3 linked regions of the Solanum lycopersicum genome follow. The protein of the gene in region 3 binds, or shares a complex with, the protein of the main gene of each other region. Links are inferred from orthologs where the notes say so. Each region holds a gene or a part of one and is shown on either strand. Other genes may lie near its edges.

What was found.
Region 1: THO complex subunit 5A (region 3) and THO complex subunit 3 share a complex: the UniProt entries of both Arabidopsis thaliana proteins name them as parts of the THO complex. The link is inferred for Solanum lycopersicum from reciprocal best matches to the Arabidopsis thaliana genes THO5 and TEX1.
Region 2: THO complex subunit 5A (region 3) and THO complex subunit 2 share a complex: the UniProt entries of both Arabidopsis thaliana proteins name them as parts of the THO complex. The link is inferred for Solanum lycopersicum from reciprocal best matches to the Arabidopsis thaliana genes THO5 and THO2.

The regions. Positions count from the first base shown.
Region 1 is NC_090806.1:70,056,074-70,059,829, forward strand, and holds the start of THO complex subunit 3, read right to left. Parts: upstream 2,294-3,756; 5' UTR 2,177-2,293; coding exon 2,114-2,176; intron 1,973-2,113; coding exon 1,877-1,972; intron 1-1,876. UniProt on the Arabidopsis thaliana protein: Acts as a component of the THO subcomplex of the TREX complex which is thought to couple mRNA transcription, processing and nuclear export. Contributes to the integrity of the endogenous trans-acting small interfering RNA (ta-siRNA) pathway.
Region 2 is NC_090804.1:20,379,089-20,382,766, forward strand, and holds the start of THO complex subunit 2, read right to left. Parts: upstream 2,915-3,678; 5' UTR 2,604-2,914; coding exon 2,469-2,603; intron 1,844-2,468; coding exon 1,718-1,843; intron 1-1,717. UniProt on the Arabidopsis thaliana protein: Acts as a component of the THO subcomplex of the TREX complex which is thought to couple mRNA transcription, processing and nuclear export.
Region 3 is NC_090803.1:65,322,227-65,325,982, forward strand, and holds the start of THO complex subunit 5A, read left to right. Parts: upstream 1-1,405; 5' UTR 1,406-1,696; coding exon 1,697-1,906; intron 1,907-2,196; exon of another isoform or gene 2,197-2,382; intron 2,383-3,756. Other genes in the region: annexin D5, read left to right, coding at 189-392. UniProt on the Arabidopsis thaliana protein: Acts as a component of the THO subcomplex of the TREX complex which is thought to couple mRNA transcription, processing and nuclear export.

The sequences.
Region 1 (3,756 bases), on a different chromosome or scaffold from region 3:
AAGCAAAATATCATTCAATCTTCATGCAAATTCCAAAGTTGAGGAACTTGGGATTTTTGCGACTATGAAACAAGATAAAAGTATGTTTATAGCCTTGATAAAGAGAAATGACAAATGATATAGAGTTATGGAGCACTCGATCTACTAACAAAGTAAAAATTTATCTGGTCTATGACCAAGTAAAAGATTTAATTGATAATAACAAGGCTATCTTGGTCATATAAAAGGAGTATACCACAAAAGGAGAAACCTACCAAACATGGTTCTCCAAAAGACACCTCAATCCTCTATACAAACAAAAATTACACCAAAAGAAAATAAGGGATCGGAGACTACTCCTCAATTGAGCAAAGCTAATCTCCAATTCTCCACCCTTTCAATAGCTCTCCTATTTCTCTCTTTCCAAATGACCCACATTACTGCAAGAGGAGTAACATTCACACCTTGTGTCTTCTTATCCTAACTCCACTCTTCCAACTGAACATCAACACTTCAACAGACATTTGGGATTGCCCAAGAAATATCAAACCATCTAAAGATATCCTACCATAACCTCGAGATGTTTTGCAATGTAGCAAAATATTGATCATGTCCTCTCCTGCCTCTTGACACAAGAAACAACAACTTATGCCCACCACCTTTCATTCCCTAAGATTCTTCACCGTCAATATCACCCCTTTAGTAGCTAACCACAAGAAGAAATACACCTTCTTCAGCACCTTAGGTGTCCATACCGAGTCATACAGAAAACTAACTTCCACCCTAACAGGAAGCTTTTATAGGACTTAATAGAGAACACTTTTTTATTCACCAACTCCCAACTCAAAGCATCAGGTCTATCTACTGGTTTGCATTGCTTATGGTATAAAACTAGAAAGCTTTGAAGATCGGTCATCTCCCAATTTCGGAAATCCCAGAAGGTCCCACCCCCTAATTTGCTGAACAGACAGCTCCCTTTGCCCAGAAATGCTATACAACACCAAGAAATCATTCTTTAACCAAATCACTGCACCACTTTTGACCCCCAAAAACTAGTCTCCTCCCAACCCCAAACTTAAAAGAAAATGTTTTTGTTAAAGGCTTCCCACCCCTTCATTATATTCTTCTACATGCCAAACTCGGAAGGTAACCACATTTGTTCTCCATCTTCCTTCCATAACTCCATATTTGTCCGCTATCACCCCTCCCATAAAGCTTCTTCCTCCATCTCGAATCTCCAAAGCCATTTATCCAAGAGGACTTTGTTAAAAACCTTCAAGTCTTTAACCCCAAGTCCTCACCACTGTTTAGGAGATGTCACGGTCTCCCGTCCCACTAGGTGAAACTTCTTTGTCCCATCCGCCGCATCCCAAATGTTCCTTTGCTACCTTTCCAGCTTTTCTATAACTCCACACCAAGTGCGTTGAGCTGGGACATGCGATATTTTACCATCCTGTACAACTCTGGAGCATTTCTGCATCTTTTTACCCATTCTCCCAATTCAAACCTCTCTGTGTATCTATAACATCGAATTCGTATGACCTCCCACAAGTGAGGTTACGCTTACTTTACCCCACCTTTGATAAGTAACAACAAAATTTAAACCTAACTGCAACAGGCATTACTATCATAGGTTCCTTAACTCATACCACATAGAACTAGACTTTGGCAGAAACAACTAAAGTGAGAGACCAGCTTCTTAACTCTAGAGAAAATCTCAGGTGCCTAAGTTCATGCATATATCATAAAAAGCTATCCTTTTTTCAGTTTATTTACAACACCCAGTTTCCCACCACTTCAGTAGAACATTTAAAAATCAGAGCAATAACAAAAAGCTATCCTTTTTTCAGCATTAAAACTTAACTGAAAACAAAAAAGATGAGCTCATGAAGCTTACATGACCATGAGGCTCAATTTGCCAAATACGAGCTGTTTGATCCACAGAACCTGAAGCTAATTTCGTGCCACTGCAGTTCCATGCCACCGAATGCACCTTTAATTTTTTTTAAAAAAACAGAGAAGATAAAGTATCACATAGTCAATTCATCTAATCAGAGAGTTCATAAAAAGGAAAAGCAAAATTAGGGTTGTATTGTTAACAATGAAGTGAAGGAATAGTTTTAGAGAGAGAAACCTTCTTCTTGTGTCCCTGGTACTCTCTGCTATGAAGATTTTTGAAGGGTATTGTTTCCGCCATTACTCTTCTGCTTGTTTGCTCCGTTTACTTCTCTGAATATTTTTTTTGCTTGTGTAGAAGACGAACAAAACGACACACAATATTGTCGTTTCATGCCAACCCTGTTTAGAAAATGATAGACTAGTCCTTTAAGTTTGAGAATGGTCTAAAATAGTCCTTTATACTGTCGAAATTGAGCATTTTTGGTAATTAACACATGGTCGCTAGTAGTTATTTTTGTTGAAACTGCCTCATGAGAAATAGGTGAGCCCTCTTTTAAACAGAAAAAAAAAATCATCTAAACGGGAATTTCAAGGTTTAAATTTAAACGAGTTACATATTTTGTGTTATAACAATGATCAAGAGCTAGAAGTGTTCAACTTTAATAAATTATTTTGGTGTATAACATTTAAGATCCATTGATTTACCGTAATTATAATTCTTTTGTTATAAAGAAACAATTCATATATTTTATAGAAATAATAATATAAATGGTGGAAATTAATCTTTGATATTTTTTTCATCTAATAATTGTGAAGGAATTAATCGTAGAAATATTTATTGTACATGTTTGTGTGTACTGGCATATATTTACTTTTTTAACAATATTTTATTTTTTCACAAGCATAAGTCAAAGTGTTCATCAAAATGATATCTTTTATATTATTTATTTATTTGGTCTATTAATTGAAAAATACATATAACAAAATATTAGTACCTATCAAATAATTGTCAAAACTGTACAATTATGACTTTTGAGCAAGACAACATTTTCAATAATTTTAAATTTAATTCAAAAGTTTGAACAAATAATACTTCTTATTTCCCACTTTTTCTGGAGATTAATTGATGTGATTGGGGATTAGATATAAAATAAAATAAGTAGCTTGCCCATCTATTCAAAAAAGCAATTTAAAGAATATAAGAAATATTAAAATAAAAAGGTTCAATCAACTTCCTAAATACGTGGAGAAAGTCCAATCTCATCCATTTAAGAGTACTATTAGAGATAATTCTACTTTTATTCCCTCAATTATTCATAATTTTAGTCATTGTGATATTTGATTAAGTATATTTAATTTGTAATGAATTAAAAGTGGGTTTTTTAGATTATATTTGAGTAATAATATAAAACTAGTATGATATTTTGATAGCGAATAATTTAACACAATTATTCATGATATGTTTCAAAGGACATATAATTGAAAAAATTAAATACTTCATGCAATTAATCGAAAATATTCATCAGTTTATTCAAATATTATAATTATAAAATAATTTTAAAAAAATTCATTAGTGTTAATCTTAAAGTTTTAGCTGAGCTATAGTCTCTTTTGACAGAATTCAAAGAAATTACAGTTAAAAATAAATTATTTTAGTTCTTAATTAAATATTTTAACTTTAAATTTAGATAAAATATTATACTAAAGAATACATTTTGTTACATAAATTTTATATAATATAAAAATAAACAAAAATATCAAACAAACAAAAAAAGAAATTATTAGCCACCTACCACAAAATCCACTAATTTAAGGTGTGAAGCACAAGGATGGTCTTTGGTGATACAGTAAAAAGTTGTTAACTTTTTCCATGTTGTC
Region 2 (3,678 bases), on a different chromosome or scaffold from region 3:
CAGTTAAACAAAAAACTACATAAATATATTAACAATTCATCACTAAGATAAATCTTCGTATTTACATCAAAAAGCAAAATCGAAAATGCATGTGTGGTTAACTATTTAGGGAGCCTATAATGATTTACAAGCTCAAATTAACACCAAAAGGAAAGGAAATATGTGCAACAGCATTTGACCAGCCGACTGAGTTATCAAACCCAAAAAGATCTACAAAATCAAACATGCACAATAGCAATTTAAATTCAATGATTTGGAACTAACTCAAACCAGAGAAATTCAGATCTTACGAATCTGATTGTTCTGGACTTCGCAACAGATTGGTTGTTTCTAATGTCCTATACACCGGCTTCTATTAGTACTATGGTCCCAAAGGGAAACTTAGTGCTCCTATATGTCCCTAGAGAGCTTATCTAGCTACTTGACTGTTGCAATTACAATTCCACTCACCTGCATCCTATTGTAACTCATACATATGTCCTGATAATGACCAAAGAAAACCTGAAAAACTACTCTTATTTTCCACCTGTACCTAGTGCCACTAATGCTAGTGATAACAACATATAGTCAAGTTTGACCTACTGAAATGAGATTTTTACAAGTCGATATTTGACTAAATATACTCATCCATTCATCAAATTAAGCTAATACTAAGAAATAGAATTCATAAAACTCCAACAAAGAAATTGATGTTTCAGGTTGCAGGTATATAAGCCAAAATCAAGGGTGTTTGTTTGATGTCCAGAGCAGCAAGTGAATGTAGCTTACAAAGATACCCTTGTATTTTCACATATTAAGAGACAATGTGGACTGGACAAGGATGGAATTTGTTCTTAAGGAGGAACCTTCAGAATGGGAGATTGACAAAGTGGCAGAATTTCAAAATTCAGTAGGCTCTTTCAGCAACCTCACTGAAAAGGAGGACTTATTAGTTTGGCAGAATGATGCCAAAGGTCAATTCTCAGTAAATTCAGTCTATAAGGAACTCAACAAGAATGCTGGACAGGAGATGGAATGGCCATGGAAGATCATCTGGAAACCAAAAGTACCCTACAGAGAAAACTGCTTCATGTGGCTATTAACAAAAGAAGCAGTTTTGACTCATCAAATCTAAAGAAAAGAGGCTCTCAGTTGGCTTCGAGATGTACTTTATGTGGAGAACATGCTAAGACAATTAACCATCTTTTTTGCATTGTACATAGACATAACAATTATGGAGAATGTTCATCTGTCTAAAGGAGATAAGATGGGTGAAACCAGGGAGCATTAAAGGAATCCTGAGCAGCTGGAATAGAGATGGCAATGCTTCTGACAAGGAGAAGAGATGGAAACTTGTCCCGGCATGTTTTTGGTGGACAATCTGGAAAAAGAGAAACAGTTGGAGTTCTGAAAATTGGCAGAATAGCTTACAGAAGATCAAGATGGACTGCTTAGCTCTTTTCTATTTTTTGTGTGAACAAGATATGTTAACTAGGACAGAAGATATCTTTGATGTGCTAGTTATAGGTAGCAGTTTAGATTAAGACTAATTTAGACTAAGACTTTTTTATTCTGTAACTTGTAAAACTTTTGAAGGGGAACTACACTTTTGTTGTAGTATACCTGTGGATATATAGACTAAAGTTACCAGTTTCAAAAAAAAAAAGTAAACAAATATGGACAGTAATTTCAGGATTAATAGTTGACAATAAGAAGAAAAGGGAATAGGAAAACTCACATCCTGAGCCAATTGGGTAACAATATCGGCCAAACTCGACCCTAGCTCCTCCTGAGATGCATAGTCCACAAACTCCACACACTCTAATGCCAATTTACATTTCTGAAACGGCAACTCACCTCGAACCTTGAACACCCAAAACAACCCAAAACAATCAATTCACAGACCTCAAAGCAACAAACCAATGAAAAGCGAAGCTAACAAAAATATCCTTTCAGGGATTTTTTTTTAGTTCTTTTACATGATCTAATCAGTATGTTGCTTTAAATTCAATAAATTTACAAACAGAAACAAGTGTTTTGCGGCAAATAACCAATTAACCACACCCAAAAGGATCAATAATTTACCAATTAGCTATTTATCGACTTTCCAAATAATCAAACATGTCAAAAAAAATCACCTTTCAGCAACTAACCAAGTATTTCAATAAATTGAATAAAGTTTTCAATCAATTATGTAATAATGCATTTTTAAATTCATCAAACTTATCAAAAATCACTTTTTTGCAGATAAACCAACTATTAGTTCAACAAATTGATTAAATTAGTAGTGAATTATCTATTAATCGGTTTTCTACATAATCAGACTTCTTTACAAAGATCACTATCTTAGCAAATAACAAACTAATATTTCAACAACGTGAATGGATTTAACTCAATTATATAATAATGGAAGTTCCAAATAATCCTAAGTATCTAAAACGGAACACAAATAGTTCAAAATTGAATATATAAATAAATAAAATGAATACCATAACCCAGCAGAGCTCATAAAGAAAGCGAAGAGTGGGAAGTGGTTGAGCGAATTTGAAGCTGGTGTTTCCATTTTTCAACTCTTTGATGGAGTGCTCTGTAAAGTACAAATACTCCAAAGGTGAAAGAGACATTTTTGTTGTCGAAGATGACAAACCCTACGACCTAGGGTTTTGGCACTTGCTTTTTAAGAATTAAGATAGAGAAACACCAAATCCTAATTTCGAAGATTTTCCATGGCGATATCAACTTCTTCTATTTTTAGGGTTTCGGAGCTTCAAGGAAAATAAATGCCCCTCTGCGACAAATTTCTGATCCTTCTTTTTTCTGGGTTTCTTTTTCTTATTTATTTTATAAGAAAGAATTATTTACTCGAGAAAATTGAATGAAAGGCGTCGAAGGGATGGTTTTGTTGGTGACACACTGACAAATAAAGGGTCAAATTAACATTTTTCAAAATTTTCTAATCTTATATAAAATATTAAAAAGAAATTACATTTTTCAACTACTTTAGTTATAAGATCTTATTTATTTTTATTAAGATTAAGAATTTGAACCTAAATATACATTTGGATATTAAGAATCACATTACGATCAAGGTATTAGAATCTGAATGCAAAAAATGAATTTTAAGATGTAGTTCTAGGTCTAAACACTGAATTATTAAGATTGGTTGTTTTCAATATCGACTATGTGCATAATTTATTTATTTATAAAATTATAAATTAAACATTATATCAATAAAATTTATAATCCAAACACAAGATAATTTTTCCAAAAAGTTGTTTCAAGAATAAGATTATAACCAATCGCAAAAAAAATGATTTATTTGTTTTCTCAAACAATTTTTTTCTCAAGAAATAATGATAACTTATTTCAAAGAAATTTTGGCAATAAACGAATTGTGACAAAAATATTTCTTCATAAATATCAATTCATCTAAGAATATTTTATATATTAACAATATTAATTAAATACTTGTAAAAGATTATGAAAACTTACTTATTCAAAAGAAAAATGGTATTCAATTGGAAAAGGAGAGGAAGAAATTTGAAATTTGAACAGAAGATAAGCAAGGAAGAATAGAATTTATTTATGAAAAGACATTTATTATTTTAATGGAGTCTGAAAAATATTAAGACTTTATTATAAATCTGATCTAATTAGACTCATTAAGACCCATTAAGAGATTTTTTTAAAGAAAAAATA
Region 3 (3,756 bases):
ATTCTAAAGATTTTCATGTTTTTACTATAGCATCCTTCATTGGGGGCTTCAGAATAATCTCTAGTACTTTGCTATAATCTGTGTTATCATTTTTGTCTTAGATTTAGTAAGCTATGCTAATTCTTACATGAATAAATTGTATAAACTCTGTGGCTGTACTGCACCTTACATATGTTAAATGGATTCAGGAGTTACACAAGGCAATGAAGGGCTTGGGGACGAATGATACAACTCTCATAAGGATAATAGTCACGCGAACTGAGATTGATATGCAGTATATAAAAGCAGAGTACCAGAAAAAGTATAAGAAATCTCTTAATGATGCTGTTCATTCGGAGACTTCTGGTGATTATCGGACCTTTCTTCTATCTCTTCTGGGGCCTGGTCACTGAATCAAGAGTCTACGCCATGCAACAGGTGTTATTAGTGTGGTATTAGTGTTGAAACTAGTGTGTAAGCAGTTTCTATTGTATGCTAATTATTGTTTGCTTATTTGCTGAGTAGTTGATTTGGAACAATGTCTGTCCATGATCAGTTGGATACCTTTTTTAGTTTAGTCGAATGCTAAGTGTGAATGGTGTTGTGAAGGTGCTTTCAGATGTACACTTATTTGGGTATGTTTGGTACCGGAGGAAAATATATTTTTTCCCACCTAAATTTCTCATGTTTGGTTGGTTAAATTTTTTGAAAAATATTTTGCAACATCCGTTATTTCCTGCCCTCACTTTAATAGATTTGTTGTTTGTGCGGTCAGTATTTTATATTGTTGAAAAATTAAGTTTATACTTTGTTCACTGATTATGATGGTCCAATTGAGATTTTTTTACGTATGAGTTAGAAAGTCAACTTTAACATCTCTCAACCATGTCATAATTTTATTCATCTCATTGTAATCGCGTTTAGTAAATTTTGACTGTGTATGACTGTGTTGGGTAGGCAATAATATTTATAGACTATCACGTAACTTTGACCAATCATTCCTTTAAAAAAACTCTCGAGAGCCACAAATATTAAAAGAATGGACAATAATAAGTAGTTGAAGAAAATTTGTTTTCCTATTCAATTTTAAATGCTACATAGATTGCTCTTTTATTATAGGGTGATGATTTGCTTCATATATCTCATTTTAAGGGTATTAAGTATGTTTTATACAATTAAACAAATGAAGAAAAAAAGGAAGTGGTTTGAAAATATAATTGTGTCTAATGGTAAATGATCACATTAAAAGTAGTATTAAAATTTTGAAGTCAAACTATTATTGTTGTTATTATTATTTTTAGAGCGCTCGCTACTTTATTTGCTTGTCGGAAGTTATGACGGACTATCAAATTTCCCAACAATTTTTCAAAAATTTTTGATTAATTAAAAAATAAAATATTAAAGGAAGGAATTTACTAAATTTGTATTTGTATTTTCTAAACGAGTAAACAATGTATCACATAGAAAATAATTTTTGAGTAATACAAGAACATCTTGAAACAAAAACATATCTCTTTTTAAAAAAATCTTTTGCCTAATTTTTTTTCCTTTTAAATTATGGAAATTAATGCTTAAAAAAGGAGAAAAAAGAAGGAAGCAATAAGAAGGGAAGACCGAAGCGCTCGCTCGAGCAAGAGTAAACGGATCAAACCCTAGTAACGTACACATCCAGAAGCTTAATGTACCACTTAAACCTGTAGGCAGCGACTGAGTAAAGATGAAAATGGACGTAACCATGGGGGAACCCGGTGAGATACTGCCGGAGCACAAGCCGGAAAGGTCGCCGCACGAGGTTCTGCAGCAAAGCAAAGCTTCAGTAGAGGAAATCGTCTCGAAAATGCTTTCTATGAAGAAAGAAAGCACGCCGAAATCTGAAATTCGCGAACTTGTCACTCAGATTTTCATCAACTTCGTCTCTCTCCGTCAGGTTAATATTTCATTGCATCTCCAATTGTTCCTTTTTAAAGTTCTATGAGTCCAGTTTCCAATTAAATAATCCGCTCGTCAATCCGATTTTGAAGTAGAGGTAGCATTTTGTTGTTAACGAAGTGATTAGACCAGTCAAACGAAGATGAGTTTAAGTTTAAGTATGAGCTGTTAGTACTCTAGACTCAATTTTTATATATGTATCATCCTTATGAATGTTGGTTGATGTAATTCAATGGACTCAGCTACAATACTCAGTGAGAGACTGAGAGTTGCTCTAAACCTTTGTAGGTAGATTTACCGGAGACCTGTGCTTTTTAGGTACAGCTGCCCTGGCGCTAGTTCATTTGGGACTATCATGGAGGGAGTCTATGCATAGTTAATTAATCGGATTTAGGAAACTGCGACCTTTCTCCGTTGTATTCTATTTTCATCCTGCAAAACACCTGTTAGTATTGTTTATCTTTGATCACTCTGGTTGGTAATCTCAACTCAATTTTATTTATTGAGTAGTTCTGATCTACGTGTACATAACAAACAAAAAGAACTGTATACATGTGCTTCCGTTTCTTCCTTTCTCTTTTTGGCAATTAAAGAAACATTTTATTAATTTCCAACTACCAAGTGAACTCTTTACAAAGCTAGGATGAAATATGAATTAACCAATTCAATCCTTTCTCATCTCATCTGCTAGAAACCAAACTAAATGGCAAATATAGTTAACTGCTCATTTAGTGATTCTACATATCTAAACAACATCCTACTATTCCTAGTTCTTGTGTTCAGAGAGAGCTTCATCTAAGTGTACTAGTTTCTCCTTGTGCATGGATGTGATTTGCAAAATCTGTCTGTTTCTTTCTGGCCATATACCATAAACCACCATAGTTAGACTACTTTTAAGTATCATCTTCCTTGGATCTTCGCCTCTGAAATTTTGTTGCATCCAACTCCATTCAAGTTCCCACTCCAGTATTGCCTTGATCCTTTTCTGCAATTTGCATATGTCGCTCCATATATCTTTAGTAAACTGACACTTGAAAAATAGGTGACTTCCAGTCTCGACTAAAGTGCTGCAGAAGATGCAAACAGGATATACACGAGTCCCCATCTCAAGAATAAATTTTTAGTTTTTAGCTTCCCCTGTAGACTCAGCCATAGGATGAAACTGTGTCTAGGTACAGCTATGTTATGACATAACAATTTATTTCATTTTGGTCATGGTACTAGGAAATGGAATCCTTAAATGGCGCCTTATATCACAATAATATAAGCAGCTGATTCTGTAGAGTGGGCTGCAATAAGGGCCCGGTGTCATTATGTTAATGAAAAATGGCTCGGCAGTATGTTGACGAATTGTCCCTCTATAAAAACAAGTTTTATAAGTCCAGGGACATGAGAATAGATCAAAAAACAGGGAGACTCAACCGTCTCCTGAAAGAGATGCAGCTTTGTTGAAAAGACAATTATCTCGCTTGCAAACATATCTGGGCGAGATTAAATATATGACTGGGGTACCCGATATTGTAATCAGCGTTGATCAACACGAAGATATATGGCCCTGTGAGAGTGTTATTACTTTAGGAATTCCGACAATTTGTTTCTCGAAGATTAGGTCTAGTTGTTAGGCTGTACCCTTAATATTGGAGAGTCGGTTGTATCTTCTTGTGTTTAAACTCGAATTCTGATTGAATGAAATTATTGCTTGATTGCTTTACTTCTCAAACTTGAACATGCTTCACTGCAAATTGCTCATATAATGTCTCTTAGGGTTGCAGTTATTATTGTTAGGCTGGACATATTCCATGTAAAGTTTAGATTCATATATTTTTATTTGATTTTTTGAGCTCCACA